Nothobranchius furzeri: one gene and its partners. The protein of the gene in region 2 binds, or shares a complex with, the protein of the main gene of each other region. Links are inferred from orthologs where the notes say so. Each region holds a gene or a part of one and is shown on either strand. Other genes may lie near its edges.

What was found.
Region 1: the proteins of aurka (region 2) and tpx2 are in contact, whole or in part, in a crystal structure (PDB 3HA6), measured with the Homo sapiens proteins. The link is inferred for Nothobranchius furzeri from reciprocal best matches to the Homo sapiens genes AURKA and TPX2. Residues at the interface, in NP_001310232.1 of Homo sapiens: Lys125, Arg126, Gln127, Trp128, Asp132, Glu152, Gln154, Ser155, Phe157, Leu159, Lys166, Glu170, Gly173, Glu175, Leu178, Arg179, Val182, Glu183, Ile184, Ser186, His187, Leu188, Arg189, Tyr197, Gly198, Tyr199, His201, Val206, Tyr246, Ser249; in NP_036244.2 of Homo sapiens: Gln3, Lys5, Ser6, Ser7, Tyr8, Ser9, Tyr10, Asp11, Ala12, Pro13, Ser14, Asp15, Phe16, Ile17, Phe19, Ser20, Ile31, Asp32, Trp34, Phe35, Glu36, Lys38, Ala39.
Region 3: the proteins of aurka (region 2) and tacc3 are in contact, whole or in part, in a crystal structure (PDB 5ODT), measured with the Homo sapiens proteins. The link is inferred for Nothobranchius furzeri from reciprocal best matches to the Homo sapiens genes AURKA and TACC3. Residues at the interface, in NP_001310232.1 of Homo sapiens: Leu130, Phe133, Glu134, Ile135, Gly136, Arg137, Tyr148, Leu149, Ala150, Arg151, Ile158, Val163, Arg205, Tyr207; in NP_001428248.1 of Homo sapiens: Glu523, Ser524, Phe525, Arg526, Pro528, Val531, Leu532, Gly533.

The regions. Positions count from the first base shown.
Region 1 is NC_091755.1:45,546,617-45,554,305, forward strand, and holds the start of tpx2 (targeting protein for Xklp2), read right to left. Parts: upstream 4,172-7,689; 5' UTR 3,943-4,171; intron 1-3,942. Other genes in the region: rhoaa (rho-related GTP-binding protein RhoA-C), read left to right, coding at 4,355-4,387. UniProt on the Homo sapiens protein: Spindle assembly factor required for normal assembly of mitotic spindles. Required for normal assembly of microtubules during apoptosis. Required for chromatin and/or kinetochore dependent microtubule nucleation.
Region 2 is NC_091743.1:61,018,504-61,024,565, reverse strand, and holds the end of aurka (aurora kinase A), read right to left. Parts: intron 5,501-6,062; coding exon 5,191-5,500; intron 5,109-5,190; coding exon 5,072-5,108; intron 4,981-5,071; coding exon 4,789-4,980; intron 4,680-4,788; coding exon 4,541-4,679; intron 4,438-4,540; coding exon 4,289-4,437; intron 4,137-4,288; coding exon 3,962-4,136; intron 2,292-3,961; coding exon 2,109-2,291; 3' UTR 1,675-2,108; downstream 1-1,674. UniProt on the Homo sapiens protein: Mitotic serine/threonine kinase that contributes to the regulation of cell cycle progression.
Region 3 is NC_091758.1:31,355,235-31,362,757, forward strand, and holds the start of tacc3 (transforming acidic coiled-coil-containing protein 3), read left to right. Parts: upstream 1-3,587; 5' UTR 3,588-3,726; intron 3,727-4,813; 5' UTR 4,814-4,814; coding exon 4,815-4,979; intron 4,980-5,059; coding exon 5,060-5,187; intron 5,188-5,265; coding exon 5,266-5,303; intron 5,304-5,378; coding exon 5,379-6,450; intron 6,451-6,534; coding exon 6,535-6,577; intron 6,578-7,146; coding exon 7,147-7,297; intron 7,298-7,374; coding exon 7,375-7,433; intron 7,434-7,523. Other genes in the region: kinesin-like protein KIF15, read right to left, coding at 44-81, 165-241, 323-509, 774-804, 1,021-1,039. UniProt on the Homo sapiens protein: Plays a role in the microtubule-dependent coupling of the nucleus and the centrosome. Involved in the processes that regulate centrosome-mediated interkinetic nuclear migration (INM) of neural progenitors.

The DNA of each region.
Region 1 (7,689 bases), on a different chromosome or scaffold from region 2:
GGGTGGCAACTGGTTCCAGAGTGACGGTGCTAGGACTGAGAAAGCCCGGTCCCCGCGAGTACGACACCTAGAACGAGGGACAGCGAGCAGGCCTTGGTCAGAGGAGCGCAGAGCGCGTGATGGGGAGTGTCTGTTCAGGAGAGTTGCCAGATAGGGGGGAGCACAACCCTGGAAGAAATTAAAGACAAAGACGAGGAGTTTTAAGTGTGAATGATAGCAAACCGGAAGCCAGTGCAGGGAGGCCAGAACCGGACTGATGTGGTCCCGTTTCCTGGTCCCAGTCAGGAACCTTGCTGCGCTGTTCTGCACAACCTGTAGGTGACGCAGTGATGACTGACACAACCCTGCATATAGAGAGCTGCAGTAGTCAAGCCTAGAAATTACAAAAGCATGGAGTACCCGCTCCAGGTGGGCTCTTGACAGCATAGGCTTGATTTTTGCAAGGCGTCTCAGGTGAAAGAAACTGGACCGGATCACAGAATTGATGTGAGCATCAAATTTAAGTCCAGCATCAATTTTCACCCCCAAACTGGTCACAACTGGTTTTGAGTAGGGAGAAAGAGTGCAAAGATCAACATGCCGATCCACATTCCTGGTGTTGGGGTGAAAAACAATGAGCTCTGTCTTTCCCTCATTCAGATGCAGAACGTTGGCAATTAGCCAAGACTTCACCTCATTAATGCAGGACACAAAGGACTGGATAGAGTGACCTTTCTCCTGACACAATGGAGAGTAAATCTGGCAATCGTCAGCATACAGATGGAATGATAGGCCAAGTTTACGAAAGATTGACCCCAGAGGTAGCAGATAAATGGCAAACAAAAGAGGACCAAGGATCGATCCCTGCGGGACCCCCAGCGGAGCCCCTCCCAAGAAGAAAAAACATCACCCAGTTTAACACAGAATGTCCGGTTTTGGAGATACGATCTAAACCAATCCAGAGCTGACCCTTTGATCCCAACCCATCGTTCCAAGCAATCCAGTAGAATCGCGTGGTCAACTGTGTCAAAGGCTGCCGTCAGGTCTATCCAATCCAATCCAGTTTATTTATAAAGCACTTTACAAGACCCAGCACAGGAACAAAGTGCTGTACAGAAAGTACATTAAAACAATTGACTAGAAAGAAAACAGCAAAGATAAATAAAACACATGATACATAAAATTAAACTAGCCCTATATTAAAAATAAAAACTTGATAAAACTTGATAAAACCGCATTTGAATCACCTAAAACAGCTAAAATAAAATAAAAAATAGAAACCAACATCTCACAAGGTATTAAAAGCCAGGGTAAAGAGGTGTGTTTTCAGGAGTGCCTTAAAAGCAGATAAGGAACTGGCCTGTCTTATCTCTAAAGGAAGTTCGTTCCACAGTTTTGGGGCTGCAACAGCAAAAGCACGATCTCCTCTAAATTTACGCTCAGTCCTGGGTACAATCAGGAGCAGCTGATCAGCAGACCTGAGAGAGCGGGAGGGAGTGTAAGGCTGTATCAGATCAGAGAGATAAGAGGGGGCAAGGCCATGAAGACCTTTAAAAGCAAATAAAAGAATTTTAAAATGAATCCTAAAAGAAATGGGCAGCCAGTGAAGTGAAGCTAAAACAGGGGAAATGTGCTCAAACTTTCGAGTGCCAGTTAAAAGACGAGCTGCGGCATTTTGCACTCTCTGTAGCTGACTAATACATGATGCACTGACCCCAATGTAGAGTGCGTTACAGTAATCCAGCCGAGTGGTTACAAAGGCGTGGATCACTGTCTCAAAGTGCTGCCGTGAAAGAATTGGCTTTATTTTTGCCAGCTGCCTGAGGTGAAAGAAGCCAGATTTTACCACCGCCTTAATCTGATGTTCAAACTTCAGATCACAGTCCACTTTGACCCCCAAGTTGGTGACAGTTGGTTTAACAAACTGGGCCAAGGAATCTACAAACACATTGGGTGTCTCAGTAGGACTACCAAAAATCATCACCTCAGTCTTTTTATCATTGAATTTTAAAAAATTCACAGACATCCAAGCCTTTATGTCGTCAAGACACTGTAGTAATGGCTGTATGAGGTTTCTGCCTTTTTTCTTTAGAGGGACATAGATCTGACAGTCGTCAGCATACAAGTGGAAAGCAATGCCATGCTTTCTCAATATAGAACCGAGAGGAAGAAGATACAAAGAGAAGAGGAGGGGGCCTAGAACTGAGCCCTGCGGGACACCACACAAGAGCGGAGCGGAGGACGACACATAGTCACCGAGACTGACACAAAAAGTTCGCCCCGCCAAATAGGACCTGAACCACTCCAGAGCTGTGCCGCTAATGCCCACCCAGTGCTCTAAACGAGAGAATAAAACAGCATGATCCACAGTATCAAAAGCAGCTGTCAAATCTAAAAGCACAAGAACAACACAGTCCCCAGCATCAGTAGCTAAGTATATGTCATTAAAAACTTTTAAAAGGGCTGATTCAGTGCTGTGAAAGGGTTTAAAACCAGATTGGAAAACCTCTAATACATTTTGCTTTTCCAGGAAGGCCAATATTTGGCTATGAACTACCTTTTCAAGAATTTTAGAAAGAAACGGTAGTTTGGAGATAGGCCTGTAATTCGCAAGATCCTGCGGATCAAGAGCAGGTTTTTTAATCAGGGGTTTGACTACTGCATGTTTAAAATCTTTAGGGACAACGCCTGACCTCAGACTATGGTTTACCAGCTCAAGAACCAGAGGACCAACTGTAGGTATCACCTCTTTTAAAAGTCGAGGAGGAACAGCATCATTTGGAGACCCTGCAGGCTTAAGATGACCAACAGTCTCCTGTAGAGATGACAGAGTCACAGGCTCAAACCTGTCAAAGACAGCAGAGCAGGAAACAACGACTGAGGGGTCATGAGCACAAGGACAGATTTGAGCCCTTGTGGAGGAGACCTTCTCAATAAAGAAGAGTAACAAATTTTCACATGCTTCTAATGAGGGCTCAATAGAGTCAGCATATGGTGCACTAAGAACAGAGTTAATAGTTTTGAATAACACTCGCGGGTTGTGGCAGTTAGACAAAATAATGTCCGAAAAGTGTTTTCTTTTGGCCTCTTTCACAGTTCTTTGATATTGACGCCAACAGTCCTTCAGCATCTGAAATGACACCTGTAGTTTGTCCTTTTTCCATTTGCGTTCAGCTCGACGGCAGTCGCGTCTGACAGCTCGGGTCATTTCGTTCAGCCAGGGCTCACATTTGGTTTTAGGCCGCCTGGTTTTTAATGGAGCCACAGTGTCCAAAGCAGTCCGACAGGTGGAATAAAACCAAGAGCTCAGATCATCAGTCTGGCTGCATAAAAAATCCGGGATCTGACAAATCTGGTTAAAGACTGTTGAAAAGTGCTCAGCAGTGGAGGAGTTAAAAACACGTCTGCACTGAGCAACAGCGCGAGGTTTAACTGAGGCACATACAAGAGGAACTTCAAACAACACAGGACTGTGGTCAGAAAACACAGCATCACAAATCTCTATGTTAAAACTAGGGAAGCCATGAGATAAAACAAGATCAAGTGTGTGTCCACGTTCATGTGTGGGACCTGCCACACATTGCACCAGATTAAACGAATCAATAAGGTTTAAAAAGCCCCTCGCCATGGGCATATCAGGGCAACACACGTGAATATTAAAATCCCCAACAATAAGAATACGATCATATTTTGGCATGAATTCAGCCAAAAAATCAGCAAAATCATCCAAAAAGTCCTTATTGTATTTAGGAGGCCGATAAACCACCGCACACAACACTGTGTGAGAGCAGCCCAGCTCAAACACAGACAGTTCAAAGCTGGTAAGCGACGGGGTTGGTAGCTGTTTACATCTAAAATGACTTTTAAAAATAGTGGCTATTCCTCCTCCTCGGCCCAACAAACGCGGGGCATTAAAATAGCAGCAATCGCCAGGTAGAAGATCTGAGAAGATGCTGCACTCACCGGCGCTCAGCCACGTCTCGCAGACACAGAGAAAATCCAGTCCTCGGGATGTAAAAAAATCCTTCAAAATAAATGTTTTATTCGCTAGCGACCTAGCATTTACCAGGCCAAACCTGGCAGTAAGCGGCGGGTCCCCGTCGCTAGCCGCCATAGAAGCCCGACACAGAGGCCGCAGGTTTTGCGGATTCACACCACGCCGGCGGGGACGAGGAGAGCAGGGTTTTCGAGGCTGGGACGTCCCATCCAGGCCGAAGACAGGTACCAGCCAGGCACAGACAGGATCCAACGATCGCCGAGAGAAGCAGATGTTTGGCACCGCTCCTTGTTTTCTAAATAAGGGCTTGTGAGAATAGCCTAAAGAAGCTTTCATCTTCACCAGGAAGCCGGCCCGGCGACCCCGGCGACGGCACTTATGCCGGGGTGGTGGATCTGGAACACGGCACAGGTGAGCCGGGATCTCCGATATTAGCGGGGGCAGAGTTTTATGTCCAGCTTGGTTCCATTTTGCCCAGCTTTTGACAGAAGGTCGGAGATCCAGTAGGGTTAGGCGATCATATACCAAGAGAGAGTTGGCATTTCCTACAATAGTCAATAAAATAAAAACAACCAAATAAAACACTGGTAGTGACAGACGGCAAGCCATGCACACCGGCGCCATCTTACCACGCTCCCATTTCACACTCGAGGAGGAACAGCATCATTTGGAGACCCTGCAGGCTTAAGATGACCAACAGTCTGTCTAACAACAGAAGCACCACAGATGTTCCCTGATGTAGTGATAGATAGATGTCATTTAGGACCCTCAGTAGAGCCGACTCTGTGCTATGGCCAGACCTGAACCCTGATTGGAAAACCTCAAACAGATCAGAGTCAGCTAAATGTGAGACCAGCTGCTGATAAACGACTTTCTCAATCAGTTTTGATGTAAAAGGCAGGGTAGAGATAGGCCTGTAATTTTCTATCACAGAGACATCAGCACCAGTTATTCACATAATAACTATAGTAGCAGTAATATTGCACATGTCGGTGATAATATTAGTTGTGGAATGTTACAGATGTATTGGTTCCGCATTAGTATTGACCATTATAGAGTCTAACAGGGGCAGCAGTAGCTCAGGTGGTAGAGCGGGTTGCCTCATGATCGGAGGGTCATGGGTTTGATTCCAGCTCCCGCCAGAGGTATTCCGCTGTTGTGTCCTTGGGCAAGACACTTCACCCAACTTGCCTGTGTTAGTGGTGGTCAGAGGGGCCGACGGCGCCAAATGGCAGCCTCGCCTCTGTCAGACCTCCCCAGGGCGGCTGTGGCTACAAGTAGCTTACCATCACTAGCAGTGTGTGAATGTGAGAGTGTGTGGAAAGCGTCTTTGGGGGTCTAGAAAAGCGCTATATAAGTTCAATGCATTTTTTTTTAACAGTGGCAGGTAGGAAAGACCTACTATGTCTCCTTCACACAGCGAGGATGGATCAGCTTGAAGCTGCTCTTCAGAGCAGATGGGGCATCCTGCAGGGGGTATGACTCACATGGTCCAGCTTTGATCTGATATAATTATGAGATACAAAGTCATAATTGGGATATTTTTTTATCTGAGTGCCAGGAATGGGCTTCCACTGCTTAGAAAAGAAAAGGGAAAGAAAGAAAAAGAAGATATTTAGCCAGTCATATTAATAAACTAGATGCTGTTTGAATGCTGGATGGCTGAAACTGTTAGCTGAAGCTGCTGAACAGCTGAACTGAAGCTGAAGCAAAACTGTCAAAATGAGCTGAATGTATTGACAGATGTAGAAGCAAAAAGCAGCAACAACCAAATAAAGCACAAAAAGTAAGTGAATAATAGAGAAAAATAATCCTAAACAGCAGAAAACTGAAATCTGTGAAAATTGTTTAAAAACTGGGCAGCTAAAATGTCTAAACACCTGTTATTTCAGTTGGACTAGTTTAACAGTTTAATATTTACATTTAGCTGAACTGTGAAATTAGCAGTTCAATCAATCAATCAATCAATCAAAGCTTTATTTATAAAGCGCCTTCCGCAACCCTGTCAGGAAGCCCAAGGCGCTATGCTAAATTCAGAAACTGATTGCTGAAGCTGCTGAATAGCTGAAGTGAAGCTGAAACTAAGCTAAACTGTCAAAATGAGCTGAATGTATTTAAGGATTTAGAAGCAAAAAATCACCAGCAAGTGTAGAATAAAGGTGAAGCATGGACAAAAAATGCCAAACAGCAGAAAACTTTAATCTTTGAACATTGAATAAAAAACTCAAAATTTGAAATGTTAAACAGCTGGCATTTGAATGAGAATAATTTAACAGGTACATTTTTACAATTGGCTGAGCTGTGAATTTAAAAACATTTGCTTGTATCTGAAACTGATAGATAAACATGTGCAGACTTGATATGGGATGGATGAATGGTTGGATGAATGAAATGACAGATGGATTGTTGGATCGATGTTAGATGGTTTATTGGATGGATAGAAGCATGGATGGATTTATATGTGGATGGATGAATTCCTTAGGCCAAGCCGATCGATTTGATGTCTCACATGTGTGGGTGTGAAAGTCCATTTAGCCAGAAGATGATTGACCTCTCTCAGCCAATCAGGCAGCGGTAACACTTACAGATAAAACAAAACCCATTCTGAAAAGCTGACAGAAATTCCTACTTTTTGAGATATAATTTGTTTCGGTACTCCAAACGGTCTGGGCGTTGGAAAGAGTTGTTTCCAGAAAACGTGAAGGTCAAAAGTTACGGTGTGGAATTTTCAGTTTAGAGTGGGGAGACATTTTTTATTTATTTAAATATTCTCAAACAAATGAACCGTACGACCACAATGTTTGGAGTACATTCATGATTTATAGCTCAAAACGAAGGTATATCCGTTAGCTGCAAGCCAGCGTGCGTCTCATTTCAATCGGACTTACTGTTTTCTCAGGACAATGCCAGAAATGGAGCAAAGGAGGGTCACTGCTCCTATCTCTGCCCATTATGATTTTTGAGATTTTTTCTGAAAATCTCAAGCCGTACCTCAACTTCTACCTGTGTTTTAGAAAAACTGTAATAGACATCAAAAAGATTTTTTAACCAGTAATAGCTGAAAGTGTTGTGAGTTTGTTGAAACTTGAATGAAGTCTCTAGGTTGAAGTTAACCTATAAGAGTTCAAAAAAGTGATAGGATTTAGCTGAAAATTGAGCAATCCCATTCATTTCAATGAGACCAAAAATCGCAGAAAAAGCTGAATATCTAAAAAAGTATTAAATATTCTAATACCAAAAGTCATTGCTGGGATAAGCTGAACGAGCTGAACGTTTTGATACCGAAATTGTGTAAATAGTTGAAGAATTGTGGAAGTAGTTAAATGCCAAAAAATGTACGGAAGCAGACTAACTAACTAACTAACTAACTAACTAACTAACTAACTAACTAACTAACTAACTAACTAACTAACTAACTAACTAACTAACTATAAGGAGAAACAGGATCACTATAGTTTGCATTCAAACAATAGTCTGCCTTGTATGCAGGGTCATATATGATGCAGTTGATGACAATATTTCATTACAGATGCTGTCATGTCAAGTTTAGACATGCTTATTTTTTAGTGTACTGTAATATGGACAGTCGACAAATGTCTAGGAAATAACAGTGAATGAATAAATAAATCAGCCAGCAAGCCTTTATTTTGGGCGAGAGGAAGAAAGCAAGTACACAGTTTTACTGCATTCAATGACAATAACCCTGTAAAAGT
Region 2 (6,062 bases):
CCACCACACTTGCAACTTCAGAGTATCCCGGTCCTTGTAAATCAATAGTAAAGTGGAGCTGACATGCTAGCGCTGCAGTCTGCTTCCAGCACATGATTCCTACATAGTTTAGATCATGAACACAGCTGATTGGTTTTAGTGATGAAACGCTCTGACACTAACGAAGGCTAAGGAGACATTTCAGTAGTTAGGTGAAGGTGTTAAAAACACGATTGCGCAAAGAAGAGTTTCACTTTTGGGTTTATGACAGTGAATTATTAATAGTCTCTAGGGGTGCTCAAAGTAAGCCAAAACTACCAATTGTGTCTTTAAACTTATTTTCTTTCTCCTCTTCTCCATGTTTGATTACATCAATTTGGTAATGAAGTATTTTCACACAAAACCTAAAATAACTTCTGCCGCCTATCATCATCAGTGCTTTCCTGGCATCAAAACATTTTTTTAAAATACACAGACATATTAAGAGAAATCTGTTGCACACAAGAAAATACCATCCCCTCATAGATCCCCATTCATTATTTGGGCAGTTGTGGACCCATGGTCCAGAAGTAGATGGGTGTGACATGTACGTTAACACATGCTTTTTTATTAAATAAAGGACATAAGAACCTTTATCTGCTCGTGACTCACAGAAAAGTCCAAGTCAGCCCAGTTCATTACACACATCCTTCCTTATGAATGCAGTCAGACACTTTCCTCCTAGGTATTCAGCGTTATAATGAACTGGTTTAAGCTGTAAACCCACTGGGCTGATTAATCGGAGGCTTCCCCTATTGGGAAGTATGAATTTGAGCTGGGCTATCAGTAAGCAGTGTGTGTTCTGGCCCTGGTCGGCCTGAAGCAGGCCACCTCGGGAAAAGGGCTGAAATAGTCCAGTTGCACCCCAAAAAAGGCAGGCTATACTAATGTGGACACTCTCTGTGCTATCCAGAGCATGCAGAGCTGATGCTAGTGGGAAAGGCCCATAATGGGAGTGTAACTAAACAGACGGTCTAGATTTCTAGGCTAAGGCTAATGATTTTCTGGTGTATATTTTATATTTTTTTACTGGTTTTAAAGAGACAATGTGTAGTTTTTACCATAAATTTCTGGAAACACCCATCAAAATGTTGTTGAAAATGAATTAAATGATGCCCAGTTGGTGAAAAATATTGGCAGCTTTGTAACATAACCATAAAAATCAGGTCATGGGAGTGGGTCTAAGTCTCTGGGCGACACCATATTAGATGCCATGTTTCCTTCTACGGGAGCCCATGAGGACAAAATGCATTTACTGATTTGTAACAAACGGTTACGACATGTTCTCCATCCATAAATGTTTTTCAAATCTACCTCTTCGCTTGTTGCCAGTGATGAATGGGAGTCTGATGTGCTTGTTATTTTGTCAAAGTTTGCATTCTCTAGGGCTTTTTGACCCTAATGGGCATCCGTTGGTAATGTCTTACTCCAACACAAAAATACTGCTTTCATGCAATGATTTAGGAATCTACTGCCCCCATCACCAGGAAAAATGCACACCATTACTTTAAGTGAAGCAGTCACTCAATGAATTTTATATTAAAACATTTTCTTCAGAAATCCAACTAATGTGATCTGAACCATCACTTGTGATAAAAATTTACTTAGAGCTACAATAAATGATGTGAGATGTTGAAGACAAGACAATACAGATAATTTAGTTAAACCTTTTAAAGAAAACTTTATTTTTTACTGAAACCAACATGCTCAAAGTTAGAGCTCTCTAGCGCCCTCTGCTGTCTCACATCTGTGCAGAAATAAAAAAATAACCTACTTCTCTCAGGTTTTCTGAACTTCAAGCAACACATTTAAAAAAAGTCTTGTTTGCTTATTTCAAGTAACCTTTCATAAAAAGCACAAAGATTTTCATAATTATTACATTTTAAATATTTACAAACAGGATGTCGTTGAGAAGAGAAATAATTCAGGATACGGTAAAAGCAGACAAAACAATGTGGCTCAAGATTCTGTAAAATAACAGGAAGTGGAAAAGTCGAGTAATCAAAGCAGATTCTGACAAATCAGCTTACAACTGATGCTCAGAGGTCAAAGCCGATGGTGCTTTGTCGTACACTCCATCAGGAAAACCCTCACTGACTGGTCTCCTCGGCATTCAGAGTCACGGGCTTCTTGGTGGAATATTCTAGCACCCAAGGGTGGGACAGGACTCCCTGGATGGGCAATCTGTGCATGGGATTGTGCTTCAGCAGCCTCGCTACCAAGTCTTTGGCTCCAGCACTGATACTGGTCTGTGGAGGATATGTGTACTCCACCTAAAGGAGGGAATGAAATCATGACAGGTAGAATCGTAAATAACAGAAGCTGTGAATTAGCAGTTTTAATAAGGACAGAATTGTACATATTTACTCATAGTTTTAATACATTTGCAGCAATTTCTAGCTGGAATTAATGCGTTGTAAGTTGTTGACTGCAGAAAAAAAGCTCCAGAGCGCCTGTTTCAGCACGGAGAATTCCAGTTAGAGAAAGTAGCTTCAGATGGCAGGAATGAGTTTTATTTCCTGATATTTGAACACCATACCTCTGATTGGATAACAGCAATGCGACTTCACCACTGACTTCCTTTGCAACACCGATGTTTTACCTCCAAAAATAACAAGTCTGAAGGAGTTCTGCCATACTGCGGAATTGCTATTGCTAACAGTTAGCTTCTGCTAGTCGAGACGTTCTCTGCTGTTTCCTGGACACTAAATAAACAGCTTTTGCCGCCACGAGTCAAGATGAGTGAGTCCATGAATGTCAAGATTTTCTGAGCAGAGGTTTTTCTGTCTATTTTCTATCAGAAGCTAATGCAGGAGATAGGTGAAGACAACTATTTTCATGTTTAGGCTACACGTGAAACTTGGACACTGATCATTTTCTAAAATAAGTAAAAAACTGTTTCTCAGTGAGCCTGGCCTTTAAGTCTGCAGATCTGTACACAACAGAAATAAAACTATTTTAGGAAAACATCCAACTGATTTCCTTACAGAAAGTACAATTTCAATTTGATTCACAATTAACTCGACCCAGCTTTAGCACAATGTACAGTAACAATAACATGCCAGATTATGACATCATGACCAAGAGTGTACGGTCGGTAAAGACGGCTCTCCCTTGCCCTGCCTCCATCTAAAAGGCTAGGTTATCCAGAGTTATCTCTGTAGTTATGCTGCTATAGGCTTAGACTGCTGGAGGATACACTGACCACTTTCCACACTCTACTACTTTCATCTACAACTTTAACTGTATTATTTCCTGCTATTTCAGTTGTTAACTTTATTTTTTCTCTTTTTCTCCCCAGAATAAGCAACAATGATGTTCTGCTGAGCTGTGGTGGCCTCATGGAGGGGGCCATCATCTAGCACACTACTGCTAACCATTTAAACATTCTCCCTCTCCTGATAATAACTTTTTGCTTTCCTTGACGTTGGATGTGCTACAACTAGTTTACCCATTTAATTATAGATTCACTAGGATAAATACAATAAAGTTTATCTCTCATCAAATAGAATATTTACTAAGAAATCACGATGTAACCATAGAAACATTACTTGGTGTGCGTGCGTGTGTGTGTGTGTCTGCTCTGTCTTCTCGATCCCCAGTGAGTCGTGGTGGATGGCTGCTTATACTGAGTCAGGATCCTCTGGAGGTTTCTTCCTGTTAAAAGGGAGTTTTCCTCTCCACTGTCGCTAAATGCTTGCCTAGTATTAGGATTGCTGTAAAGTCTGATGCAATTTGCTGGGTTCCTTATATAAGAAACATTTTTTCATATTGACTTAATGAACTGACCTGGATTGGAATGTTTATTATGTGAAGTGCCTTGAGATGACTCTTGTCGTGATTTGGCGCTATATAAATAAACTTGAATTGAACGAGTATTTATACATGTTTTGATTTTTCTTTAAATTAGACACACCAAAACAAAAACAGCTGAGTCTCATACCCTTGAAATCTTGCGGTAGGTTTCCTCATGAGTTTTTGCTTCAAAAGGAGGATGTCCAACTAGGAACTCATAGCAGAGGACCCCCAGGCTCCAAAGGTCCACCTTTTCATCATGGGTTTTGCCTTCAATCATTTCTGGGGGCAAGTAGTCAAGTGTTCCACACAGAGTGGACCTTCTGCAGGGGTAAAAACATTTCTAAAATAGGACTTTATTATGCAAGGACAGAAAAGATCGTCACACAAAGAAAAACCAGACAACGATCCTCAACATCAGCAGACCAGAGCCCATAAAACACAGTAAGAAGTTGCATTAAACACATCTGCGTACCTGGATGAAGGGGTGTGAACAGACCAGCCAAAGTCAGCGATCTTCAGCTCCCCGTTGCCTCCCAGGAGCAAATTCTCTGGTTTGATGTCTCTGTGGATCACATTCTTGATGTGGCAATAGTGGAGAGCATCTGCCAGCTCCATAATGTACTAATAACACAAAAGAAAAAACAGTAAGTGGAATTAAGAGTACACCTTCAATAAACCTGTGGAATGTTGACTGTGTTTGAAGTTTGAAGTGTTTTTAACTTACTGTTGCACTCCTGTCTTCTGGGAAACTTCCACACTTCTGCAGCTCGCCGTACAGCTCTCCCTTAGGTGCAAACTCAAGGATGAGATACACACGGGTCGCATCATGGAAGTAGCCATAGAGACGAAGGATGTTCGGATGCCTGTATGAAACCCATGCAGGAGAGAATTCTGTGAAACTGTCTTAAAGGAACTCAAGACAGAGGATAAAGTTTAGATTGGTGTTTTATTGTAATTTTCACATCACATCACCTGAGATGAGACTGAATCTCCACCTCTCTCCTCAGCTGGTGTTCCACCCCAGCCTTCTCAAGCTGGTTCTTGAAGAGCACCTTCAGGGCCAAGATGAATTTAGTCTGACGCTCCCTCGCCAAGTAGACGTTCCCAAACTTGCCCTTCCCCAAGGGACGGCCGATATCGAAGTTTTCCAGGCACCACCGCGTTCTGCATTTACACAGCAGTACAGAGTTAGAAATCCTATTCTGATCTGTTGAATTATTGCACAAATAGAATGTAGAATGTGCACTTGACGTACTTTGATGGGGCCACCTGATTAGTCTTGGCAGGTTTGTCTTAAAAAAAAAAAAAAAAAGGATATTTTAGTGTCTACAACAAACACTTGCTTATTCTTGTTTATTTTAGAAATGTGCATACTCTGTGGCTTTGCCTGCTTTGCAGGATCAGAGGGAGGCTTGGCACTGGGTACATGGGTCGTCGGCTGGTTTTGCTGGGAAACAGGCTTTGGTTGTGGTGGATTTGAACATGGTGTAGCAGGGTTTGCATTCTGGTCAGCAGGCTGTTTTGACTTAACAACAGAGACCTGAGACACTGGTTTCTGATGACTGACTGGCCGCTGAACGCGCTGGGGACCATTGGACACACCGAGGACTCGTGGCTGAGTTGGTGTGACAACGGCCTTTGAGTTATGCGATACAGGAACACGCCTCGGCCCGTCACCACTGGACTGCAATCACAAGAGGTCATTAACTATTAGAATCAGATTTACAGCAATTTTACACAAAGTGATGAATGAAAAAATAAGTAGTAGGTCTAGAAATATGTAGTTTTAAAAGATATTTCATACTTCTCTACCAACATTCTGGTTTGGATGTAGATCCAATGACAACTTTTAAGTGTTTCATTAAATTCCCTCCAGTGGTCCATGAAACGTTTTTGCAAGTTAAGTAAGCGAAGATGTTCAGCGTTATAGTGGTGCAAGATTGGGAATTTGGGATTACTCAGACTGTCGCACCAAAATTGAAGACCATGTATGTAAAAAAATGTCTGAGCTAGTCATTTCTGTGATTGCTAATCTTGATTAGCTGTGGCAGCCATCTTGAATCAAGAGTTAAGTTAGTCAATCCAATGATTATTTCCCAAGTTTAGCTGTGAACTACCCAATGACTCGTGAGATATTCCAATAACACTAGAGACCAATCAACACACAAGCCAACAATAACAGAACATTTTGCCATCAATAATACAAGATTGAATGACTGACTTTTCTTTGTACATTACTTCTAATT
Region 3 (7,523 bases), on a different chromosome or scaffold from region 2:
GAAAACTCAACTTTAGATTTTTGAGAAAACTATAAACTCTCACCAAGCATTGTAAACGTTTTTCCAGAGCCTGTTTGTCCACTGCAAGAAAAAAAGTATAATCAATGCTCAACATGTAAAACAAAGCCATCAAATTGAATATTGTACATAAAAATGACACTTACTAAGCAAATATGGTACCATTATATCCATTCATGCAGGACTCAACAATATTCTTGGCCACACTGTTGAATACAGACTCCTGGAACACAAAAATTAAACATTTTTCCCCAAAAAGTTTACATCCTATGTATGTATTTAATGCAATGACGGTGTTTCAAACCTGAGATGTCTCCATGTCAGCAACATGATCGTAGGTGAAGGTTCGTGGTTCTGGTTTGGAGAGCAGACGGACGGTGTGTGGGGAGGTAACAGAGAGACACAGATTCTGATCTCCATCTGTGGTCAGCCCTGTTCCCTGGGTCAGAGGTCGCACTCGGACAAATACTTTAATTGAATCACTGTCGCCACTGTAACATCAACAGATTATTTTCATAAAAAAATAGGATTCAAATTTTAAGAAAATTGCTAACAGTTTATTAGTTGAATTCATTCCTGATAGTTGCTTATAAAGCTGGTGATTGAAAGTATAAATGCTTCAGAAAAAAATAAAAACATTTGCATGGGAGCATTGCATTAGCTGTTACTAGAAGACACAATTATCATCTACAGTTTAGTTTTATTGCTACTTTTTGCATATTTAGCAGGGACAAAGAGGCCTAAAGGTACCTTACCTTGCAGCAAGGAGGGTTGAATCTCCAAAGCCTGGTAACAAAATGTTCAAACGTTCGTTAAATGACTTTTTGTAACTGACACTAATGAAAAGACAACACATGAATTGATCGCGCATCCTATGGTGCTAAAACTTTAACCCAAGGCAAATATTCAGTAGCTAGCTAAAAAAATAAGTAAGGAAACAACGAATGTCGGTATCAAGTTTAACTGACAGCATATTTGTTGATTAACCGAACATTTCACTACCTTTTCCAGTAGTTTGCATCGTTGTCTACGAAGAATTAATCGTTAAAAATCTATTTATACGTTGTTCACGTCACAGAATCAGAGACGGACGGACAACATTGTTTATGTTGTTCTTTAAAATTGGCGGGCTAGTCGTCTTCCCCAGAAAACTACCCGGTGTTACGCTGAAATGTGTCCGCTGTAAAATAAAAAAATGGAACTGTGTTCCCACCTTATTTCCAATTATTCATTCCCACCAACAACATTAAAATTTTGATGTTGGAGAGGAAAAAAAATATTTACATACGCACTTCATGCAGTAATGATAAATTTCCAAGTTTTTATTATTATTATTATTATTATTATTATTATTATTATTATTATTATTATTATTATTATTATTATTATTATTATTATTATTATTATTAATCATCATCATGCCTGTACAAAATTCAAAATCATGTTTATACACAATAGTACAATGATGTCTTAGTGATCAAAACGACACACAACCATATAGGAAACGAGAAAAAGGGGGATCTGCTTACCTAGAAGTGATAAACCTAAAGGATTTTATTAGTTTAATCGTTTTTGTTAACTTCTTATTGCCCATTTTTAATTTTCTATGGAGGCCAGATAGAGTTTAAGATCAGTTTCTTTAAAATTATCTGGAGAAATTTCCAAGTAACCAAATGTGTAATAGTATGTTTTCACTGCCCAGTTGGACATTTTTCTTTGCTACAAAACAATCGATATGTTTTCCTTTGGCAATTTTTTAAAATGCAATCACTTAAAAGAAGATTGTGCAAAAAATAATAATAAATTCAGCTCACTGGAAGCTGAATTTTAGCATCTGGCCCATGCTGGAACTGGTCTAGGTAAAAAAAATAACTACAACATCCACACTCTTCAAACCTGTACTGGATTATTCTACACTAATAGTGTAAAGGATTTTATCAATATGTTTATCAATAACCCGTTTCCTGTAGTCGAAGAGAAAAAGGAGACAATGAACAGACAAGTCAAACAGTTGTAACTGTGGCACAATGCACAAGGCAAAATGGCCCGAACATCTGGTCACAGTTTATTTATACCAAGAGATAAGAAAGGAATGTAAGTGAGAGAGAGAGAGAGAGAGAGAGAGAGAGGTGTGTGTGTGTGTGTGTGTGTGTGTGTGTGTGTGTGTGTGTGTGTGTGTGTGTGTGTGTGGCTTGTGTGGGTGTGTCTGAATAAGTGGGCATGCAAAGAGGCAGAGAGCAATACATATTACATTCAGTTGATTGAATCAATGGTCAAGAATTAATAAACATACAAATTTCCACAACACATAGTTTGTGATTTGTGAAACCTTTTTCTGAATTGTGATACGTCCAACCAACTTTTTTTGTGATGCAGCACAGTTACAGAACATCCACAACTTAACTCAGATTTGTTTTAAGTTTGCATGTGGGTAAGGTGTCTTCACAATAAAATTGTCTTAATTAAAAACAAGAACAAATATCCACCCTCAAACTTGTGTTGAATCATGTTCCAGATAACTTCAGAGAATTGAACATCTCCCCAGTTCTGAGTTTCATGAGAAGCAACAAATAAATTCAGTTGTCACAAACCTTAACATTCCAAAAGACATACAAAACAACTTTTTGTTGCAGTTATCTTTCAGTCACTCAAATTTTCTTACCTCTCTCCTCCATCTCACCATGCTCTATGTTTTCCAATGCCTCGCTTGGGTCAATGCATTGACCTTTTCTTGTGCTTTAATTGATGCCTGTGTTACATAAAACTGTTAATTAGAAAAAACTTCTCCCAGATTTAATGTGCTTTTAAATACCATGTATTCACATAATTCAAGTGTAATTTCCAATGAAATTTTTTTATTTCAGACTCTAGTTTTTGAGCTAGTCCAGTTCCAGTGTGGACCAGATGCTAAAAAGTTTTCACAAATCACAAACTATATTTTATGCAGTCTGCTGGTAGTGTATAATAATAATAATAATAATAATAATAATCCAGTACAGGTTTGAAGAGTGTGGGTGTTGTAGTTTTTGAGCAGATGGTCAGAGTAGAGAAAAACTAGGTGTAATTGCCCTTTAGCCATGTCACGAATAGCATCTAACTTCAGCCTTGTCACAAGGAGCAGATGCTGGAATAAAGTTGAACAAGGCAACAATTACTCATCATTTATGGAATAAAAAAAGTCAGGCTGCTTTTTAAAGCTAGTTATTTTCTTCATTTCAACTTTGTTCATAATTTGATAGGTTATAATGGACATGTTTCTATTTCGCTTGTAAGCAAAAACAAAAATGAAAATTATTTATTTTCTACTGTGAAGATAAATAAAAAAAATACTTGCAGGTGTGTTTGTTTGTTAAATTAATATTTTTGTACAAAAGTGTCATGGAATATAGTAAGACGAACATTTTGATGACTTCATTAAAAGAAGAGAAATACTTTTTTAAAAGCCATATTATTTGACTAAAATGTTATAAATGTAAATGCCTAAACGCTCTCTTTTGGCTGAGATGACAGTTGCGTCATATCCGCTGTAACTTCTCATTGGCTGTTTAACGCGGAAGCGCCGTTTGTTTAAATTCGACTGTTAAATTCCAAACGGCTGTCTCACAGACGCTGGCGAGGGCTTTTCAAAAGAATTTCTGCTTTGCTCGGTTCAGTGGAAAACTTTAGCGAGAAACGGTGCAATTTCAGACAAGAATAAGTGAGTTGCAGGTAAGTAGTCCCACAGACACACGGGTAGTGCGAATGTTCTCTTTTTGGATCTTTTCCGTGTTTAAAAGTGAAGTTGAGCTTTTGTTTTCCGTCTCTGACCGTTAGCTTACCGATTGCTAACTATGCTAAACACTGGGCTCTTTCCCCTAAATTTAGCAAATAAATAATATTTATATGGCACATTTCAAGATTAGAATTACGACGTGCTTTACAATTAAACAAACAAAATAACAATGTAGGCTATAAAAACGAAGTTTATTAAATAATGGTCACGATTGGGTGCCGATTTTTGATTTAGCGCTGTAGGTAACCGTTCATAAAATAGTCTACTGGTTAACTTTTACACCAAGTAAGAACTTTATGATTAAATTGTTCTCTCTGTATAGAAATGATTTTTCTTCTACTTCTTCTGTTGAGCCACAACGCAGTTTGTCATCTCATATTCGTTGTGTGTGTGTGTGTGTGAGAGAGAGAGAATCATACTGGTGGTTTATATGGTATAATTGGGGAAAAGTCTGGAGGAAAACAAATTTTGAGTTTATTCCTAACTTTCCTCATGGATTGAAAATTTGACAAAATTTGCCCAGGATATGAAAAGTAGATTAAACACCTTTTTGAATTTCCATAAACCTATGTGTTTTCTACAGAGACTGTAGGAGAGTTTTTTTTCTGATTAACATTTTTGACTACAGATTAATGTGATCATCAGTGCCATCTTGTGGTCTTGTTGTGCCACTGCTTTGTTTTCAGCTGCAGTTGATTAGTTTTCAACTAAAAGTTGCCCTGATTGGGGCAAAATCTAAATATTAGACAACTTTCTGACAAAATATTTAGTTATATTAACCAAAAAAATGAAAATATGTACCACAGATTTACTGACCTCAGTCCACAAGTCAGTGGAGTGCAGTCACATGTGCCTCGATTCCTGAACAAATTATGTATTTTTTTTTCCCTAAGGTCACATGAATTGCTGAACTGAGTAGAAGTCTTATCAACCGAGGACAGCTTTCAGCATGGCCCCTTCCCACCAGAGTGTAACTAATCTGTCCCTGCCCTGTAATTTTAGTTAGTTTCTCCTCTTTTACAGAATGAGTTCTGTCGACATAAATGATGAGAATTGTGGGGTCATCCCAGCAGGAAAGCACAACGATTCTAGTCTAGATGTATTTGCCCTGGAACAGCCAACCGGGAGGCAATCTATCCTGCGTCAGACGGAGAACCTTCCCAACAGGACTGTGCCAAAAGGGGCAAAGGTGCAAAACCTTTTAGTTCTGACAGATTCAGTCATTTATGTAACTTGATCTGTATTTACTAATTACAATGTTATGTTTAGGTTTGTTTTCAGACACCAAGAAGAGACCCGTTGACTAAAAGAATCCTGTCTCCCAGGAAATCTGTCAACATGTTAAGTGTGGATGAGAATAATAAAGCAACAGTGTCCTTGGATTTGGATAAGCCAGAGTAAATAAGTCATATACTTCCTACATGTTTTTAAGTTTCAATTGCTTGTGCTTTGAAATAACACCAGTTTTTTTTCAGTACTTTAACACAGGAGCAGATTGAGCCACCCCGTCAAGGTAACTCATCCCATATTATTTTTTTACAGCTTGATGTAAACAATCCAACTCAAACTCTTTTAACCCTTTTCACAGAGATGTCATCCTATCCCGACGACAACATGCCGATACAAAGCAAAGGCGGCTACCAGTTGGATTTTGACAATCTTGATGCCATCAATCCATTTCAGAGTTCTAACAAGATGGCCGTGACCCCTGGGAGGCCCGCTGTTGAGACTCTTACAGATGACCCCAAGCCTCAGCAGCACATGTCACCAGAGAATATTCAAAATAAGCCAACTGACATGACACCCGCTCTAGACGACACGCTTCCATTCACGCCATCTGTGGAAAATTCTTATGCAGATGTTTCCACCAACATGAGCTCCACAGACAGCAGTGTGGTCACGGTGACCGTGAAGGTCCCAGTAGAGGAAGGTCCATGCACAGACACGCCTGATGAAAAACAGCCTGCTAGTTTGTCCGATCAAGAGAAGACATCTGGCAGTTTTGTGGAAGATTCTCCACTTCCAGTAAAAGGAGCTTACAACATGGATTTTGACAACCTTGATGAAATTAATCCATTCCAGACTGGAGGCTCTAAAATTCCAAATTCACCTGATTTAGAGAGAAAAGTACCAAACAGTAATCCACCTACAGAAGAAAAGATATCTATGGGCGTGTTTGAAGTTCCTATGGTAGCCCAAGAGTCACCTGCCCAGGATGTGAAGTCCATTTCTACGGTGAACCCAACACCCGCTGATGCAGCCAAGCCTCCAGCAGCTGAGTCCGAGCCTGCGGACCCTCCAGTCAATGAGCACTCCGTCAAACTTGAGTTCTCTTTCGGAGACTGCAGCGAAGTCAAACGAAAGCCACCACCCAAAAGGTTCGGCAAAAGACCTTCTGTTGTAAAACCTAAAGACGAAAAGTCGACTTCTGATGTTAAAGCATCAGCAGAAGCTCCCATGAAGCCTGTGAGTGATGTCACTGATGATCCAGTTCCTAAAGGTTCCTACTCTCTGGACTTGGATGACCCGTACTTCAATCCTTTTGGCGCTAAAGCAAGAATCACGAATTCTCCAAAGGGCAGTGGCCAACCCGCAGTTGTGCTCAAGGAAGCAGACCTTCCCGAGCAAACTGACAAAAAGGAAGATGGGTCTTCCCAGAGGTGAGTAAAACTGAGTTTCTGTCTTTATTTTTCTTCACATTCCAGCATCAAAGTTTTGATCGTAAATGTTTTTGCTCCTTGCAGCTCTGGTGAGAGCTTACCAACAGCTGAGCCCAACCATGAAGATGTAAGCTATTATTCACAGGGTATCTGCGGGTCCTTAAAGTCTTAAATTTGCTTTTCAAAATTTAAGGCCTTAAAAATCCTTAAAAATGACAAATAATCCTTTAATACAGTTTCCAAAGGTCTTAAATTACCAAAGGCCCAATAAACAAGATTCTTTTATTTCGATAAAAATTTCGTGAATTTCTAGTTAGTGTTCAGCATTGTTGTGTATAATGTTCGCGAAGCGGAACCATACACATTCAGTTGGTTGTGAAAGGGAGCTAGTTTTAGATGGGCACATTAGCTGGTTAAGCTAGTGGGAGCTTGCGCCATGGGGACGTTTAATGGTAACTGGATGGCTAATCCCACGTTCGCGATGTGGTTGGCATCGGTTCCAGGCAATAGCTGGAAATTATAGCTTAAATTTAATTCTAAAAATAGCTTAAATTTGGTCAAAGTGGCCTTAAAAAAAGGTCTTAAAAAGTCTTAAATTTGGCTCCCTTAAACCTGCAGACACCCTGTATTCAGTTTAAGTTCCTATTTAGCTCGTGTTTTTCTCACACACAAAAATATCACCCTCCTAACCGTCAGATCGCTGATCACAAGGCTACCTCCGCTCATGACCAGGAAATTCCACTTGAGAGTGACGACCCCGTGCAGAACGCTCCTGAGCCGCCTCAGCCCGATCAGCAGCTACAGATGGACACCGAGTTCAGTGAGGAGTTTGTTCCTGGAACTATGTGTGAGTAAACCTGGAATTCACATCACTTTATTAGTTTGATCTGTGCTTGATTAGTTCGGTCTGATTTACATTACCAGTCGTGGCCGGTGGCTTTGACGGGCAGATCGACTACCTTGAGCAGTTTGGGTCCAGCAGTGTAAGTGCTAACGACGCGTACGGTAACCGGATATTTTGATAGTTAGTTCATGACCTAAAGGTATTTAAATGTTTTCTTTTCAATCTACAG